5 linked regions of the Cricetulus griseus genome follow. The protein of the gene in region 1 purifies or fractionates together with the protein of each later gene. This does not show direct contact. Links are inferred from orthologs where the notes say so. Each region holds a gene or a part of one and is shown in the gene's direction. Other genes may lie near its edges. The genes, in order: Usp10, Yap1, Eif4g1, Sirt6 and Prkaa1.

Region 1 (2,679 bases):
CTCCTGTCCTCGTGTTGCACCTGAAGCGCTTTGTCTATGAGAAGACGGGTGGGTGTCAGAAGCTAGTCAAGAACATTGATTATCCTGTGGACTTGGAGATCAGCAGAGGTAATGCCAAGCCCTGTGCTTGCTGCAGTGACCCTGAAGGTCCACTCAGTGTGACACCAAGTCAGGACTCTTTGCTTTAAGTTTATTTGCATTTGTGGAACTTATACAAACATTTTCATTAGTGGTTTTCTTATTTTTTAATTTGATTTATATTTTGCCTACATGTATCATTATGCACCACGAGCATGCCTGGTACAGGTGGAGGCCAGAAGAGGGTATTGGATCCCCTGGGGTTGGAGTTACAGATAGCTATCAGCTGCCATGTGGGTGCTGGGAATCAAACCCAGGCACAAACTTCATAGTTGTGCCAAAGCCTGACTAGGAATATTGCAAGCCCAGGCAGTCTACAGAATGCATGGGTCTGGGGAGCAGGACAGTGGAGTCTTCCTCCTAATCTTGGAGAGAAGTCCTCTCAAGTAGAGAGTACTCTGTCCCCAGGACTGCATATCTGGATTCCTGTTTCCTGGTCCACGAACTGGGTGTGCAGTTACCCCTGCCCCTTGGCTGTCAATGGCACCTTCAGGTACAGTCCTGACACAGCTCTGGGCCAGGACCTGTCCATCCCTGCTCTGATCCTTGAAGTGGGGTGGGTGTTGTTAGGTAGAGCTGTCACCAGTCAGTGCTGCTGTTCTGTGGAGATTTTGTTGAACTGTTGCTGTTTTGTTTTTCAGAACTTCTTTCTCCAGGAGTCAAAAATAAGAATTTTAAATGCCACAGAACCTATAGGCTGTTTGCAGGTGAGTATGCTTGCCCACTGCTAACTCATAAACACAGCAAGCAGAGAGCCTGTATGGTCCCTAGGCAACATTCTGCTGGAGTGCACTATCATAGAGACAGGAGCCTGGGAGAGCTTGGGTGTCTAGAAAGCAGTGGGGTCTGACATGAGGGAGGGCTCTCAAAATGTATGAGTGTCTCCCTGAGTCAGTGGCCTGTGGGCTCCAGTGGAGCCCTCCCTCCCTCCCCCCCCCCCTTTTTTTTTGGAGGGATTAGGTTGTGATCTGTGTCAGTCGGGGTGAGGGACTTTTCTCACGGGTTGCCTGCCTTGTGTTGTCTTCCAGTGGTGTACCATCATGGCAACAGTGCCACGGGCGGCCACTATACTACGGATGTCTTCCAGATTGGGCTTAATGGCTGGCTGCGAATTGATGACCAAACGGTCAAAGTTATTAACCAGTACCAGGTGGTGAAGCCAACTGCTGACCGCACAGCCTACCTCCTGTATTACCGCCGTGTGGACCTGCTGTAGCCGTGTCCGTGTGCCTGTGTGTGTGCCTGACGCTGCTTCCTACAATTCCCAACTTACTAACTTCCCACCACTCTAGTGGCTCTTTAGAGAGAAACTCTTCCTCTGTGACAGTGGGCTTGAATGAAAGGAGATGTCTTGGGGGGGGGGGGGTCTGCACAGCGCAGCTCATGCTGACTCTAAACTTTCAGAGACAGTCGCTTGGTTGAGGAAATACACAAGACACAGCGCTTCTGAAGAACTGCTGGCTCCTTAATGGAGGAGGTGGCTTGTACTGTGTCCCAGTCTGATTGCATAGTGGAATAAGTCCCGCACCAGCAGCTCTTGTAAATTTGTGAAAATGAATTTTATCTATCCTTAAAAAATAATTTTTTTAATTCATCACACTTTCCTCCCTTACCCTTTAGTTTTTGATAAACGATAAAAATGAGCCAGTTATCAGAGATGAGAGAGTTCTTACTTCAAAAGGATATAAATACACAAAACATGTCGCTGGTTCCTAGACGGAAACACATTTTAACAATTGTGAGATAATAACTGCTGACGTATACACTGCAGGTCAGACATTTGGGGTGCAGACGTCAGGCTATAGAGGTGGGTGATTGTAACTTTATTACCATGGAAAGATTTCAAATCGCATTCATGCTCTGTGTACACATCAAGAAAAGTGGGCAAAATAATGAAGATTGACATTTCCCAATGTCTGCTGTGTAAACTCCTGTCCGCGCCCTTCTGATGCCGTGTCCCTAATTGTACACAGTGTAGTGATTCCTAGGAGTATAAAGTTGTCACCCGTCAATAAAGATCACAAAGTTGGTTTAAAGCTGTGTGTGTTTCTTGATTTGGAGACACTTGATTTTTTTGAGACAGGGTTCCTCTGTGTGGCTCTGGCTGTCCTGGCTGTCTCTATTGGCCTTGACTTCACAGAGCCTGCCTCTACTCCCATGGTGCTGGGATTAAAGTCACTGCCTGGTGATTGAGACACCTTTTCCAGAAGAGCCCTCAATCCTACAAGCCTATGATTCAGCCTCTGAATTCAGCTGCCACACTGGCTGTGGTGGGCTAATGCAGCTGCTGATTAGCTTGAGAGGACCTGACTTTTCACTTTTGCTCCCTCTGATCCTGTGGGTCATGTCAAGGCCAAGTTTTTCTTTTGAATGTTTCTGATGCTACCCTCAGCTCCTGGTGGAAATGGAGAAGAGGTTGCTAGCAATGGGAAGTCCGCTGAATTTTTGGTCCTGTGGGCTGGACTCTACAGGGCAGGGCTTGCAGTGGGGTGGAACCTTTTTTTCTCAAGCTCCTTTTGTGAAATGGCAGTGTTTCCATCA
Region 2 (4,289 bases), on another chromosome or scaffold:
GTTTGCATCCCAGTACCGACCTGGCAGCTCACATCCAGTTCCATGGAATCTAAACAACTCCTTGTGGCCTCTGTGGGACCCAGGCAATCATGTGATACAAAGACATATACACAGACAAATCACCCAACACAAACCAATTTTCATTGTTTTTGAGTGATTCCAGATAGGCTCCTGGTGGACTGACACACAGAAAATTGGGGGCAAAGCTGACCTCCCTTGCTTATTCTCTTTAAGTCTCTCTCAGTGTAACCCTTGTGAGCAAAAGGGAACGTGCTCCCTCAAGTTTGTGTTTTGAGTTGAAGTTCTGAGTGACTAAATGACAGAGTTTTGGTGCTAAAAAAATATGATTTGACTCTGGGCATGGCGGAGCATGCCTTTAATCCCAGCACTCTGGAGGCAGAGGCCAGCCTGGTCTACCGAGAAAGTTCCAGGACAGCCAGAGATAACAACAGAGAAACCTTGTCTCAAAAAAACCAAACCAAAACAAAAATTTGACTTGCTTTCTGATTAAAAAAAAAAAAAAAAAAAAAAAAAAAAAAAAAAAAAGAAGTAATAATGGTTTCCTGGGCAAGGCGGTCCACATTTGTAACCCAGCCCTGTAGAGCCTGAGGCGGAGGAACAAGAATTTAAAGCCAGCCTTAGCTACATAGAGAGTTGGAGGTCAGCCTGTGCTACATTGAGAACGAAAACAGGGCAGGTGAGATGTCTCAGGGTACCTGACTTCGATTTCAGAGACCCACAACAAGGAAGAAAACAGACCCTACAGATTACGTCTGACCTCCACTTGTGCTCCACGGTACGTGGAACTCACTCCTACATATGTATGTAATAAAATATTTAATTTAAAAGAAGGAAAGAAAAAAAAAAAAACGACAAAGCTAAACCAATTCTAAAAACCGGGGAAGCAGAGGCCCTTGCTTGGACTCCTAGCAGTCAGGAAGCTGAAGCACAAAGTTTGTCAGCAGTTGGAGGATATCCTTGGCTACAGTCGGCCTGTTTCAAACAAAACTTAAATCATGTTTCCCTTTGTCTCCAAGCTTCAGTTTGTAATCATTTGCACTCCCAGTCGTTTTGTTTGGTTTGGTTTTTCGGCAAACTCGCTGGTAAATGGCAAAACTGGGACGGATGTTTAAACGCAGACTCGACTAAAATCAGTGCGGGTGAATAGGACGGCTCTCCAAGCAGCCTGCCCACGCGGCTGTCCCTCGTCGCGGCCTGGCCGTGGCCGCGGACGCGCAGCTCCAGGCCGGCCGGTGCGCACGCAGCGCCGCAGCCTCCGGGTCACGTGCGGTCGGGAGTCTGCAGGAATGTAGCGACGCGCAGGGAAAGTTTCCCCGGGGGCCGCGGGCCGCGGATTCGGTGCGGGCGGGCGCGCAGAGGAAGGAAGAGCGACGAGGAGGCGGAGCCCGCGAGGCGCGCGGGCGGGCGCTCCGCGCAACTTTTTAGTTTGGGCGTCTGGAGCCGAAGTTTCTGTCTCAGTCGGGACGCCGCCGCGGTCGGGGCGAAGAAAGGGAGGACGAAGGAGCCCGGGGAGGGCAGGGAGGGTTCGGCGGCCTCGGGCACAGGGTGCAGGGCGATGCGGGCGCGCGGCGCAGCCCCCCGAGCCTGAGCGCAGCTCCCCGGGCGAGCGTCGAGCGAGGCCGCAGCCATGGAGCCCGCGCAGCAGCCGCCGCCCCAGCCGGCCCCGCAAGGCCCCGTGCCGCCGTCCGCGCCCGCGCCGCCGTCAGGGACCCCCGCGGCCCCGCCCGCGCCCCCGGCCGGCCACCAAGTCGTGCACGTCCGCGGAGACTCGGAGACCGACCTGGAGGCGCTCTTCAACGCCGTCATGAACCCCAAGACGGCCAACGTGCCGCAGACCGTGCCCATGCGGCTGCGCAAGCTGCCCGACTCCTTCTTCAAGCCGCCCGAGCCCAAGTCCCACTCGCGACAGGTAGCGGCGCCGCGGGGGCCCGGGGACGCGCGGGGTGCGGGACTGGGGTTGGATTTCCCGGAGTCGGCGGCCGCGGGGGGCTGCACAATGCGCGCGCCTCCGTTCCGCACCTTCGCTTCGGCGGGGAGGGGGAGGGGACGGGACAGGAGGGGAGGGGACGGGGGAAGAAGGGGGGCGGCATCTGGTGCGGGACCCCAGTCCGGGGACACCCGGCCTCCCCTGTCCCGTGGCGCCGCGTTTACCGTCCCCTTGTTTTCCCGAGTTGGTGAGGGGTGGGGGTTGAACCGGTCCATTGAGTTTCTGGTTCCTTCTCTCGGTCCCCTCCCCCTCCCGCTCGCCGAAGCCTCTGCTCTCGGCCCAGGCGCCGTACGACCGACCGACCGACCGAGTGCAGGCTTCGAGCTCCCCGGCCCCCGCTCGCCCCCGCCGTGCCCTGGAACTCCGGCGGGAGGGATCTTTTCACACTCGGTGGGCTCACGTGTCGCTTGCCCGATCGTAACCTATTATTTAGCGTTCGGCCCGAGAGCTTTTAAATTGGCCACATCTGGGCATTGCGCAGGAACTCGGCTGCGCTCTGGGCGCAGAGGCTCTCCGCCGGCCTTTGATAGAGCGTTGCAGGTTGACTCATAGGCAGAGTCCTGCCTGGCTCAACTGTGATTAAAGGTAATGTTTGGGAAGCAATGACTAATTCCAGGCTCGCCATTGCTTTTTAACTGACTGCGGATGTGAACATGGCTGCTTATAACCACATCCACGACGCCTGGTTGTTTTCCCAACTGGATCCTACACAGAAGTGAAAACGTTTCAAAGTATTAACATTCCGATAGGTCCTGGTAGATTTCTTTAGTGTCGCCCCCCCCACCCCCTTCTCCATTTAATTACTTAATTTTTAAAGACCTTGCTTTAGGCTAAACCAGCGTAGGAACTTTGCCCAAAACTTAATTGGTTTTCCAAACACTGCCATCGTTAGCCCACTCGGGCTGTAACTTGAGTGGAAAGAGAGTTGCCGCCCCCACTCCAACCCCCCTCCTAGGCAGGCCTGCAGCAGAACAGGGTTTTGGAGCTCCGAAAAGCTCGATTAACCTCGCTACAAAAAGCCGAGTTAAGGAGGAAGGAAAGGTTATTTAGCCTCTAGCCTAAACACTTAATTTGTTACAACAGTAGACTTAGGTACTATTCATTATCCCCTCCCCCACTAGTGGGTTTCTGGACTCGCTGAGCTAAATGCATGTTGGCGTGCAATCTTGAACGGCCGCGGAAACTTTGAAGGAACGCTCAGATTGAATGCTCCATTTTGTAGGAACGACCACGGAGAAGTATACTTGTAATATCCGACTTCCACCCGGCCGTTTGTGGGGTAGATTTGCCTTCTGATGAGCATTTTAAGAGAGCTAGCTGTGTATCAAGAAATTTACCTTTTCTGTGTGCTAATGATTTCCTAGCCCTAAATTTAATCTGATCAGAAACTCAGAAATGCCCCTGTCTTTGCTGTGGAGCTTTAAGTGACTGCTGGGTCCTTTCAGTTTCCTTATGCTCATGAATCTAGGAAACTAAACGTTTTTGATAAACCCTAATTATAATAAAAGGATTAGATTATGAATAGTATGGGTCTCAGTTGTAAATAGTTGTCTAAGGTTCCTGCCTGAGAATTCCTATACCCCTACATGCTTCTGGCATGGAAAAACTGATTTACAGAAATGAAGACAAGTTCACTTCTGATACTTTGTCTAACACTAATCTGGTTAAACCCAAATTCGAATGTTTGGGGTCTCTGCAGGTTTTTCTTTTTCCTTCCCTTGCTGTTAATGTGTATAGATCCTTAAGTTATAATTGTAGGCACAAAGAGGGCTACCTTGTTCTCTTCATTAGGTAGTTTTTAGCATTGGTACAGTTCTGAGCCTTTGAATTCATTAAGAGTCTATAATTTATATGGTTGATTTATTAATTTACAGTCAAAAAGTGACAGATGAGGGCATTAGTTATTTAAAACAAAGTATGGGAAAAGTGCATAGTAATTCCCTGGGTTTTGTTCTAGGACTTTGAAAAGCAACCATACTGCTGTGAAATGAACTGATTTATTTATTTTGGTGTGTATAGAACAAACATGTTCTCTGCCACCAAATAACAGCTCTTGCCCTAATTTTTTTGAAAACGGGTTTTAATGACAAGTATTTACTGTTTTCACAGTGTCTGGGAGGTAGACTTTCATTCAGATGGACTCAGTAAAATAACATTTATAGTGCATATTAAATTTTCGTAATTTAAAAGTGGTCCATTTGGACACCTGTGTTCCTTAGTGTCAAAATTGAACATTAAAGTTTGCTTTTGATATTTAAATATATGCTTGCCATGAGATTCT
Region 3 (3,515 bases), on another chromosome or scaffold:
AATGACATGAAGGTTGGGACTAGTGATTGCTAGGAAGGGTGGGGAGGGGGAGCCATGCCGACTGGTGTGGTTTGTATAGGTTATGGACCAGGCAATGATGGTTTTCTCTCTTGTATGCTTCGCCCTCCTCAGGAGGCAGTACAGTGTGTCCAGGAGCTGGCTTCACCCTCCTTGCTCTTCATCTTTGTGCGGCATGGCATTGAGTCCACGCTGGAACGTAGCACTATTGCTCGTGAACATATGGGGCGACTGCTACACCAGCTGCTCTGCGCAGGGCACCTCTCCACTGCCCAGTATTACCAAGGGTATGATAGACTTCTGTGGGCCTTCCGTGTCCACATGCTCACCAATTCCTTCTCTTTTGTGGAATCCCTGGAACTTTGCATTAAGTGTGTAGGCCAACCATTCCAGTTAGCTTTGTGAGGAGTGAAGGTAGCTTTAGCTTTAGATTCTCATGTCTGAAAAATGTCTTTGTAAGGTTTCCACATTGGATTCTTAGTTGTGCTCTATTTCCCCGGAAGGCAGGGTAATCTAGCCCATCTCCCCAAATGCCCTGACTTCTCCTTTCCTTTTCAGGCTGTATGAAACACTAGAATTAGCTGAGGACATGGAAATTGACATCCCTCATGTATGGCTTTACCTGGCAGAACTGATAACACCCATTCTCCAGGAAGATGGGGTGCCCATGGGAGAGCTCTTCAGGTAAAACCCCCCCTCCCTTTGTGGATGCAAGAGAGATAATGGAGTGAGATAAGTTGAATACCTGTGTTTGGAGAGCGATGGAGTAATATTGAGGGCTATGGGGTCATCAGGATTGATGATTTCTCTTACAGGGAAATTACGAAGCCTCTGAGACCCATGGGCAAAGCTACTTCTTTGTTGCTGGAGATCCTGGGTCTCCTATGCAAGAGCATGGTGAGTTTGGCCTTTTAGAGGGTGATGTATTCAGGAACTTAACGTGATTTGGGCTGCCTCTGGAGACCATGGAGCTTCTTGGTCTTTTGATAGCCTTTGCTACTTGAGAAGAAGGTTTAAGTAGGTAGTTTCTGTCATAAATTCTGCCTGGGCAGAAGGAAGATTGGCAAAGAAAGACCATAGACCTGTGGCTAATTCTTTTATTATTCATTTGATCAATGTTTCTTTGAGCAGGTCACACAGTTCACTGAATACTGAGCGCGCGTGCACACACACACACACAGATTACAAAAGTTGAATGGTGTGGACTCTGACTTGGTACAGAAAAAGCAAGAGGTGGCAGCCTCAACAACTTGAGTGAAATGTGAAATAGGGAAACGGTGGAGCTGTGAAATATTTGACAGCCTTTACAGGAGAGGACCTTTGAGGAGCACAGTAGCTCTTTATGTAAGACAGTGAAGTGACAGGAATGCAGGGCCTCGACAGGCGAGTCGGGAGTGGTGACCATGGTGTAAGAAGTCAGGGCGTGTGCTTTGAAGAGTTTGGGTATCTGGAACTTGGAGAGATGATTAAGGGGACTCAAGGGGATTTTTTTTTTTGTGAGGGTGTGGGGTGTTCCTGCTGCTGAGATTTGTCTGAACTTAGGAAACCAATAGGCATATCTGTTCCTTCCTTGTTTGAGACAAGGTCTCTCTGTGTATCCATGGCTGTCCTGGTGTGCCACCACAGTTTGGCAGCTACTTTTTTTTTTTAAGTAAACATTCATTTACTTGGGATAACAAAAAAGCTCAGTGGTTAAGAGGAAAACGGTACATTTAAAAAATTTAACTTCGATTTTTTTTGTGTGTGTGTGTGTGTGTGTATGATCCTGTGTGTGGCATGTGCCTGCAGAATTCAGAAGAGTATGTCAGATCCCTGGAACTTGCCATATGATTAGTTGTGAAACTATCATGTGGGTGCTGGGCCCCAAACAAAACAAACTCAGCAAAGCTGCTTTTGGAAAAGAAATGTAGTTGAAATATATATACTACATATGCAGTAGGAATATACTGGGTGAGATGTGTAGGTTTGGTTGTTTACCTTTTTGAGATTTAGTGATTTCTTGACTCCTACAAATGCTAATTGGTTTTTTTCCTAGAAGCTTTTCCGTCTCCTAATGTCACACCACTGTGGTGGTGGGTGCGTTCCTATTGCTTGGGATGTTTGGTTTCATCATGGAAGGGTGGTACCTGTTTGGTATCTATGTGGTATACTTAGATGACTGCTGAACTGTTGAGTCCTGAGAGCTAGAGGCCATAGAAAGGTAGAGGTAAATATTGAGATGCTGAATTGCTCTTTTGTTTTTCAGGGTCCCAAAAAGGTGGGAATGCTGTGGCGAGAGGCTGGGCTGAGCTGGAGGGAATTTCTAGCAGAAGGCCAAGACGTTAGCACATTTGTGGCTGAACAGGTTTGAGACTGGAGTTTTATTCAGAATTTGGGGGCTAGCTCATCTCATCTTTCACACTAACTAGTCCTGACCTTGGCTGTCCTTCATTTGCTTATAGAAGGTGGAATATACCTTGGGAGAAGAGTGTGAGGCTCCGGGCCAGAGGCCACTTGCCTTTGAGGAGCTGCGAAAGCAGCTGGAGAAGCTGCTGAAGGAGGACAGCAGTAACCAGCCGGTGTTTGACTGGATAGAGGTATGTTTCTCCTGGGTAGTTGGAGAAGGGTAGAGGCATGATTTGGGAGGTGACAGGAGTGGGTACTTAAGAGGCATAATTTAGAACTTAAAAGCCTTTGTTTTTCTGCACAGGCCAACCTGAATGAGCAGCAGATAGCATCCAATACATTAGTTCGAGCCCTCATGACAACTGTCTGTTATTCTGCAATTATCTGTAAGGAGCCTGGGAGATGGTGGGGCAAGGCTGTGTGGAGAGAGAGGGGTTTTGGCATTCTGGGCTAAGCCAGGTGAAGTCTACATTATTTCATTTATCCTTGTCTTTTTCCCTGTAGTTGAGACTCCTCTCCGAGTGGATGTTGCAGTGTTGAAAGTGCGAGCGAGACTGCTACAGAAATACTTGTGTGATGAGCAGAAGGAGCTACAAGCACTCTACGCCCTCCAGGCCCTTGTAGTGACCTTAGAACAGCCTGCCAGTAAGAGCCAGGCTGCAGGGATGGGTGGGACAGAGGGACTGCCAGATAGAAGAGAGGGTGGTCATGAAAAGTACACAACCCAAGAAAGGTGGGTAAAGAACAAAATGCCCTGATGGTTTGATTGATGCCTTACCCTACCCAATGCACGTTCCCTTGCCTACAAAGAGTGAGTTAATTAAACCTTGAGGGTTGACATCCTGCAGGCTTTGTGCTTGGCCAGTAGGTGACAGCAACAAAAAATGATATCTTTCAGACATGATGTGCCCACTGAGTCTGGCACAAGGCTAAAATGCTTGGCTTACATTGCCTTATCTCATAGCCATTGTGGGTTTATCTCCTTTTTTCACACTGTAAGACTGAGGTTTACAAATTGAGCACATGGGTATGTTCAAGTGTTAGTTAGGTAACCGTAGTAAGGAAGCAGACCACAGTTGTGGGCTGGCCTGTAGTCAGGGGCTGAGGGAGTG
Region 4 (4,287 bases), on another chromosome or scaffold:
GGGAAGGAGACACCTGACAATCAGCCCCTTGTAGGAAGGCCAGTCACGTTTCTGACTACTCTCAATGAGCAAAAGCAATCTATTCAGGGAAGACCCACCCACCACCCACCCATCCATCCACCCATCCCACCCATCCATCCATCCATCCACCCCCCCCACCCACCACCCACCCATCCACCCCATCCATCCATCCATCCATCCATCCACTCATCCATCCATCCATCCATTCATCCACCCACCTGTCCATCCTTCCTTTCTCCTCTACAGCTCAGTGTACAGCTCATTCTCACCCCCAATTATAAAGTTCAATCACACCCAAGGGTAACAGGAAACTCAGGTTGGCAGTCAGGATGGAATCGTGTGGGTAAGGCCTGTGAATTTAGGGGTCTCCCTCCTGGAAGAGGTGGGGCAGCACAGGTCCGCTGACCTGTGGGTTCCCACAATGGTTCAGGGAGGAGGCCGCACATTGAGCGAGGTCCGCGCATGTCGGGTGGGTCCCGTGTACCTGTCACGAGTGTGCAGGTGCATGTATGTGTTCGGGTGTCGCAAGCAGCCCCCTCCCCAACCCCCTGACACAGTATCCCCTTCCTTGGGACCCAGAGCAGCGTCTTCCCTGGCCTCTCACAGTCTCATCCCCCTACCTGAGGCGTCTCTAGGCCAGAGCACTGCGTGCACCACAGCCTCTCTGGTTACCCGCTCCAAGTGCGAGCTGCCAGCAGCAGAGTCGGGGTGACACCTGATCAGGAAGGGGGGGCATCCGCCCAGGGGGACGGGATGAGCCCAGAGAGGGAGGACTGCTGTTGGCCAGCCTGCTCATGTGGGCAGCCCCAAGGACTGCTGCCCCCATCGCCGTGGCCTGGTCCCGTCTGACCACCAGCAGGCACAGGGGTCAGGATGGACTGCCACAGGAGGGGATCACAGGAGGTGCTTCTGACCCAGTATCCCCTTCCCCATCTCTCTCTGCGTCTCCGGGCCCCTCTGTGTAACGTGGGGACCTGACCGTGATGCTCTGTGCTATCCCCAGAAACAAAGCTGAGAACATGCTGGCAGGGCGCCCGGGGGAGGGGGTGCCTGTGAACCCCAAGTTCCCATTCATTCTATCCTGTGGCTCAGAAAGGGGCAGACACGGGCTGACAGCCGCACAGCAGAGACCCAAAGGCCGCCCAGGGTCTCACGACCTCTAGACGGGCTTCGAACTCCCGCCGCGGCTGTATGCACGAGGGGTGAGCTCTACCCACGGAGTGAGAGTTCCGGGGGTTGTTTTTAATGGTTTTTGTTGCTGGTTTTGTCGCTTTTCTGAAACAGGGTCTCATTGCACAGCCAGGCTGGGCTGGGACTCGGTTCCTGCGAGCGCGCCGGGGACGAGAAGGGAAGGCTCGCGAGGCAGCCCGCAAGTCTCTGCCAGCACTAAAGATGGCGCCCGCGGCGTCAGTGCGGCGCGCGCGCTCCGGGGGGAAACACCTCCTCCGCCTCTAACGCTCCCACCCCGGCGGTCCCTTCCCCATTTCCGGCGGAAGCGGCCTCAACAAGGGAAACTTTATTGTTCCCGTCTGCGCTGTTGGCGACGATGTCGGTGAATTACGCAGCCGGGCTGTCGCCGTATGCGGATAAGGGCAAGTGCGGGCTGCCGGAGGTGAGGCCACGGTGTCCCGGTCGCCAGACGGGGGCCCGGACGAGTGGGGCATTGTGGGGACAGCACGAAACACGGAGTGTAGACAGCGGGAAGGACTTTCCTGGAAGGAGGACCCCGCGGGCGGGGTGGGTGCGGTGCGGTGGGGTCCGTCCCTGAGCCCAGCTGTGCCCCCGTCCCCACAGATCTTCGACCCCCCGGAGGAGCTGGAGCGGAAGGTGGGGGAGCTGGCCCGGCTGATGCTGCAGGCCTCCAGCGTGGTTTTCCACACGGGCGCCGGCATCAGCACCGCCTCCGGCATCCCCGACTTCAGGTCTGTGAACGAGCACGGGAAACTGAGGCAGGGCGCTGGCGGGGACGGCCGTGAGGTGGGGCAGCCGCCACAGATCCCGGCGATGTGTGGCTGCAGGGGATGCTGGGACGCGTCTGCGGGGTCCCCGGCTGCGGGGTCCCCGGCTGGCCGGCTGGCTCTCCCCGACAGGGACCCAGCCCGCAGCACACACTGACTTCAGGCTCCCAGGACGAGGCCTGCACTCGAAAAGGAACTTCTGTCCTCTGCTCGCTGTCCTCAGAGGCCCCCACGGCGTGTGGACCATGGAAGAGCGTGGCCTGGCCCCCAAGTTTGACACCACCTTCGAGAACGCCCGGCCCTCCAAGACCCACATGGCCCTGGTGCAGCTGGAGCGCTCGGGCTTCCTCAGCTTCCTCGTCAGCCAGAATGTGGACGGGCTGCACGTACGCTCGGGCTTCCCCAGGTCAGATGGGACTGGACCAGGGGCGTGGGGCTCAGCTGCACCCCTTCCTTATCCGGGAACCAGGCTGCCTGCCCGGGGTCAGGGACATTTTATTGGAGATGGAAAGGGGGGAAGAGCTTGGAGCCTAAAGTAGGCCAGCACTTGGTCAATGGGGGGGTTTCTAGGTGGGGCTCCACCCTGAGCCACGCCCCCAGCCCCTCACTGGGGGCGTCTAGGCAAGTGCTCTAAGGCCAACAGATTGTTTTCTGTTTTTTTGTTTTTTAAGATTTTCGAGACAGGGTTTCTCTGTGTAGCATTGGAACCTATCCTGGAACTAGCTCTGTAGACCAGGCTGGCCTCGAACTCACAGAGATCCGCCTGCCTCTGCCTCCCGAGTGCTGGGATTAAAGGCGTGCGACACCACGGTCCATCTGGCCAACAGATTTTTGTAGTGGGGAGCAGCTATTTGTGTTTGCAGAGATAGGGTCATCGCCACCTGTAACAATTCCTCAGCCTAGACCTTGTGGGTGAGCAGCCTAGGAAGGCTTTCTGGAGGAAGAGGCAGGCTGAGCAACTGGTCCAAGCCTCAGGGTTCAGGGAGGAAGGGACCTGACTCTCATTCTCTTCCGCAGGGACAAGCTGGCTGAGCTCCATGGAAACATGTTTGTAGAGGAATGTCCCAAGTGTAAGACGTGAGTGTCCGCAAGTGAAGACCGGCAGGGGAGGGGCTCTCCCAGGGTGGGGCTCTCCCAGGTTCCTCCGCTGAACCAGCTAACAGGTCCTGAAATGGCCCCAGGGAAAGCTGGGAGGTGCCTCTGATTCCAGTGACAGTCAGTTAAAAACAGACAAGCTATGAGGAGGTCCCCCAAGCAAGAAGCTACAAAACAGGGCGACACAAGCCACATCCTTGGAAGTGAGGGGTTCTCCCTGCCCCACCCCCCTGCTGTGGCTCCCAGCCAGCAGACAACATTGCTTTACACCAGATCCTCGAGGGTGTTAGGCAAGAGCTGTGCCCCTGAGCTTCAGCCCCTGACCCCCTCTTTAAGTTGCCTCTGCTTCCTGGTGCTGAGATCACAGCCAATGAGCCATCATGTTTGGCCACCCCACACACACACTGGTGGATGGTCTTGTATTGTTGTTGGTTTGGTTTTTTGCTGTTGTCATTTGGAGGGGGGGGGTTTAAGGATTTACCCATTTACTTAATGTATGAGTGTTCTGCCTGCTTGTACGCCTTTATGTCAGAAGAGGGCACCAGATCTCATTACAGGTGGTTGTGAGCCACCAGGTGGTTGCTGGAAATTGAGCCTGGGTCCTCTGGAAAAGCGGTTAGTGCTCTCCAGCCCCAGCATCAGGTGTCTTAACTCAACCCCTCTCCTTGTGTTCTGAAGCACAGTCTCTCAGAACCTGTCAATTGCTGGTTTTGCTGAGTGGCCAGGAACCTCCTGGGGTCTCCAGCGCTGGGGTGGTAAATCTGCTCCATTGTGCCGCCTTTTGAACTCAGGGCCTCATGTCTGCATGTCAAGCCCTTCCCAGACTGAGGCACCTGTCTTTGTATCCCTAGGCTGTTGGTCTTGCAGTGTAGCCCAGGGATTGAGCCTGTACCCCATACACTGGTTACACCACCCCCAGACCCCTGAAAGAGCGCTAGACAAGTCACATCCCCCTCCTTCCCCCCTGTACAGGCAATACGTGAGAGAGACAGTCGTGGGTACCATGGGCCTCAAGGCCACGGGCCGGCTCTGCACAGTGGCCAAGGCCAGGGGCCTAAGGGCCTGTAGGTGAGTAACCTTCCTCACACCTGCCCCTGTCAGGAAGTGAGGGCCCTAACTCCCTTCCCTGACCTGCTGCAGGGGGGAGCTGAGGGACACCATTCTGGACTGGGAGGACGCACTGCCTGAACGGGACCTGATGCTCGCTGATGAG
Region 5 (3,515 bases), on another chromosome or scaffold:
TTGTTTTCTCTGGCTTTGTTTTATATTAGTAAAATGGTTCTTGGCTGAGATGATTTCCAAGATATCATCCATATTTCAAGAGATTGATTCTGTGCTTTTAATAGAAAAGACTTTTAGTGGTAGGGGATTTTTTTTTTTTTTAAATTAAAACTCAGGTTATTAGTTTCCTGGCTCTTAGTGTAAAAGTCAAGAGTGATAGATTGTGTACCCTGTGTGAACTGGTCATCCATCATAGGCATTCTCCATGCTGTGTGGAGAAACTGTGAGTGAGTGGCTTAATCCAGGCACAGTACCCCCATTTGAGAATGTATTTAAATTACACATGCTCTGGGGAGCTAGTCAGTAGTCTCACTTAAAGAATCTGATCCATACTGTTGGACCTCTCAAGGGACAAATAGTAACATGTGGGAATTCTTTTCACCCAGATGAAATAACAGAAGCCAAATCAGGGACGGCTACTCCACAGAGATCGGGATCCATCAGCAACTATCGGTCTTGCCAAAGGAGTGACTCTGATGCTGAGGCTCAAGGAAAGCCGTCAGAAGTTTCTCTTACCTCATCTGTGACCTCACTCGACTCTTCTCCGGTTGACTTAGCTCCAAGACCAGGAAGTCACACAATAGAATTTTTTGAAATGTGTGCAAATCTAATTAAAATTCTTGCACAGTAAACCTAAAACTTTGCTTATTTCTTTGATGCAATAAGCATGCATAATAAATTATAGCCAAACACTTCCACTTATCAAGTTTTACATATATATATATGTGTGTATATATATATACATATATATATGCATATATCTAAGGATTGGCCTTTGGAATGCAGTTTGCACAGGGATTGGAAAATGATAAAAGCCTAATGTGCGGAAATGAATTGGGACCATTCTGTTGTCCCTTATTCAATAGATATATACAGCAAAATATATACAGAATGGATTGTAGGTCTCACTTGATTTTTGACCATTTTAATTTGGTGTAACAGGGCTTTGTAGGCCATAAATTTACCATAAAAGCCTTCACATATGTTGATGTGTTTTATATTTGCTTCATGAATTAATTATTTGCCTAGAATTCCCCATAGACCTTCTTAAGTGATGCTGTTTTCTGGGCTCCTTAGCTTCTTAAATAGCTACTATTTCCATTTCTGGTAACATTGTGAACGATTTCCACAACATTAAAATGCTGTTTTGTGTGGTAAGTCATACCAGATACAGACTCAATTTAAATCTTTTCTTTAGCTTGTAAGCCCCCAAATCCATAGAATTTATGTATTCAGAAACCCTGAGCCCTAAGTTTACTTCTACAATTTCCCCCTTTGATTTGTATATGAAGTGCTGCTTTGGATCCAAGAGTGGAGTTGCTCATACTGTACTGAATCATGTTTTTTCACTGTCATGGATTCTTCTGGCTGTCATGCCAGCCACTGTTGAATGTCATTTGATTGTATATTTTTAATATTGATTCAGTGCATAGAAAGGACATTTTTTATAAGCTTTGAATACGTGGATTGGATTTTTGACCCCTGATTTTATTCTGGACATTTAAAAAAAAAATACAGTGATCGCATGTATGTCTACTACTTAGTTCCAACAACTCCTATTTGGCTGCATTTGCTCTCTAGATGCACATATGTACAAAAACAGATATGCATATATGTTTGAATGTATGTATGCTTTTGTTCTGAACCACTGAGATGTTAAGAAACACATACTCAGTCCTAAATACTTAAGCATCTCCTAAAAATAATATTGTCCTTTAAGAAACTCTTGAATGCATTATAAAACGAGTAATTTCCAGACAGTGAATGGCCTTCCATATTTATCTCTTAACTGTCCAGAATCCCGTTTATATTTACAGTCTCATTTCAGCTCTATCTCTTTAATCAGGTAAATAATATTCTGAAAAGGTGGAGAAGGGATCAGTTCTTAAAATGGTCAAGTTTATTTCAGGTTTTACTTTTAAAAAATTAGTGGCTATAGAAGTAATATCTTTCTTAGATCTCTGATTTCTATGCCTCTCCTCTTTCAGTGACAGCACAGCATTTGAGTTGTAAATGAAGATTTAAAGTCAGGGAAGATGAAGCTTGGTGTTTTATGAGCAAATAATGTCTTATTGTCCACATTTGGCTTCTATTGAAGTTTAAGAAATTGGGTATGAGGCTCTAGCTCAGTGGTGGTGTTTGTCTAGGATGCACCCAGCATCCTGGGTTTGATCCCAGCAATGCAAAAATACATTTTCTTTAAACATTAATCATTTTCCCTTTGCAGGAGAGATATTTTTTTCACTATATTTATTTTAATCCCCCTCACCCCCCAATGTGTTGAGCACTTACGTAACCAGAAGGGAATGAATTTGGAGGTCATGATAGCTTGGTTTATGCACTGAATTCCAAACAAAGATTATGATTCTTTTGTTCAGGGCTTGTTTTATTCAACTCCAATTTGGATGCTGTATAAAGTAATGGATCCTCCATTTAAATGAGTTCCGAACTGTATTTATACCGAGTGTGTTTGTGTGGGCGAGTGTGTGTGTGTGTGTGTGTGTGTGTGTGTGTGTGTGTGTGTGTGTGTGTCCTCTGTTTGGGGTTTACTGATATTACTTATGATGTCCAAATGCAGCATTGTGTTCCTGATGTGAAGAAAGGAAGAGTGTGTTTTTTTTAAAGTTCCAGCTTTGTAAATAGAACTAAGTAATATCTCTATAAACTGTGTGGAAGGGGAAGGGGCACAAAAGGAGGAACCAATTAAATAGGACCTTCTAAAAATTGTTAATTTTGTAAACTTTGCTTCTTTTATAAGTTATTCTGTGATTCCTTTTAGTTACCGAGTTTTATTTTGAAGATATTTAAATATTGCACTTGTATAAATAGTATGATAAATGCAGACTATTGCAGTCAATTTTTTCAAGCTAGGATATCTGAAATGATAACTTTCAGTTAAGTATGTCAAGCTTGCAACAGAATTTTCACAAATGTATTGTGAATGTAGTTTGCAAATTCTTATATTGAAAATGTAAGGGGAGTCAATGCAAATGATTTTTAATCTTTTTTTATTATCTTTTCAGCAGTTTATATTTTTTTGTGATTTTATGCAACCATATTTTTACTTTGTCTTGATAACTGAAAGCTGTATAAGTTTTTGCCAGAAAAGTACTGTATACATAGTTTTAAAATAACAGATTTTGCTGATATGTAAAAATTTTGCCATTAAAATTGATTTCTCATGAAAGGAACTTTTCTACCAAGTTGGGACACGTGGGAGCTTAATATATCTAATTTAAAATAATTTCATTGAAATAAACACCATTGCTTTTACTTTGATTATATTTTTTCTTAAGATGCTTTTGTAGTGTTTTGGAGTTTTAGATAATTTTATATAAATTCTCTCCCTTCCTTGCACCGTCCTTTGGACTTTTGATGCCATTCACAGATGAGCTAATGTGGTTGGGTGTGTAAGATCTGTGTTCCAAGTGGCATCTTGGGAATGAAAGAAAAACATGTCTAAATCTTTCTTTCTT

The links.
Region 2: the proteins of Usp10 (region 1) and Yap1 purify together in Homo sapiens (affinity purification with western blotting; 4 studies listed by BioGRID). This does not show direct contact. The link is inferred for Cricetulus griseus from reciprocal best matches to the Homo sapiens genes USP10 and YAP1.
Region 3: the proteins of Usp10 (region 1) and Eif4g1 purify together in Homo sapiens (affinity purification with mass spectrometry; 4 studies listed by BioGRID, with this or other methods). This does not show direct contact. The link is inferred for Cricetulus griseus from reciprocal best matches to the Homo sapiens genes USP10 and EIF4G1.
Region 4: the proteins of Usp10 (region 1) and Sirt6 purify together in Homo sapiens (affinity purification with western blotting; 4 studies listed by BioGRID, with this or other methods). This does not show direct contact. The link is inferred for Cricetulus griseus from reciprocal best matches to the Homo sapiens genes USP10 and SIRT6.
Region 5: the proteins of Usp10 (region 1) and Prkaa1 purify together in Homo sapiens (affinity purification with western blotting; 3 studies listed by BioGRID). This does not show direct contact. The link is inferred for Cricetulus griseus from reciprocal best matches to the Homo sapiens genes USP10 and PRKAA1.

What each region holds. Positions count from the first base shown.
Region 1 is NC_048596.1:196,599,147-196,601,825, forward strand, and holds the end of Usp10 (ubiquitin carboxyl-terminal hydrolase 10), read left to right. Parts: coding exon 1-108; intron 109-779; coding exon 780-845; intron 846-1,166; coding exon 1,167-1,354; 3' UTR 1,355-2,174; downstream 2,175-2,679. UniProt on the Homo sapiens protein: Hydrolase that can remove conjugated ubiquitin from target proteins such as p53/TP53, RPS2/us5, RPS3/us3, RPS10/eS10, BECN1, SNX3 and CFTR.
Region 2 is NC_048597.1:122,385,860-122,390,148, reverse strand, and holds the start of Yap1 (transcriptional coactivator YAP1), read left to right. Parts: upstream 1-1,474; 5' UTR 1,475-1,648; coding exon 1,649-1,930; intron 1,931-4,289. UniProt on the Homo sapiens protein: Transcriptional regulator with dual roles as a coactivator and corepressor. Critical downstream regulatory target in the Hippo signaling pathway, crucial for organ size control and tumor suppression by restricting proliferation and promoting apoptosis.
Region 3 is NC_048597.1:67,962,971-67,966,485, reverse strand, and holds part of Eif4g1 (eukaryotic translation initiation factor 4 gamma 1), read left to right. Parts: coding exon 1-12; intron 13-132; coding exon 133-305; intron 306-576; coding exon 577-702; intron 703-833; coding exon 834-915; intron 916-2,263; coding exon 2,264-2,362; intron 2,363-2,459; coding exon 2,460-2,594; intron 2,595-2,707; coding exon 2,708-2,789; intron 2,790-2,907; coding exon 2,908-3,048; intron 3,049-3,515.
Region 4 is NC_048598.1:102,384,278-102,388,564, reverse strand, and holds the start of Sirt6 (NAD-dependent protein deacetylase sirtuin-6), read left to right. Parts: upstream 1-1,481; 5' UTR 1,482-1,567; coding exon 1,568-1,633; intron 1,634-1,815; coding exon 1,816-1,943; intron 1,944-2,142; coding exon 2,143-2,385; intron 2,386-2,996; coding exon 2,997-3,056; intron 3,057-4,046; coding exon 4,047-4,142; intron 4,143-4,214; coding exon 4,215-4,287. UniProt on the Homo sapiens protein: NAD-dependent protein deacetylase, deacylase and mono-ADP-ribosyltransferase that plays an essential role in DNA damage repair, telomere maintenance, metabolic homeostasis, inflammation, tumorigenesis and aging.
Region 5 is NC_048595.1:339,157,661-339,161,175, forward strand, and holds part of Prkaa1 (5'-AMP-activated protein kinase catalytic subunit alpha-1), read left to right. Parts: intron 1-425; coding exon 426-670; 3' UTR 671-3,515. UniProt on the Homo sapiens protein: Catalytic subunit of AMP-activated protein kinase (AMPK), an energy sensor protein kinase that plays a key role in regulating cellular energy metabolism.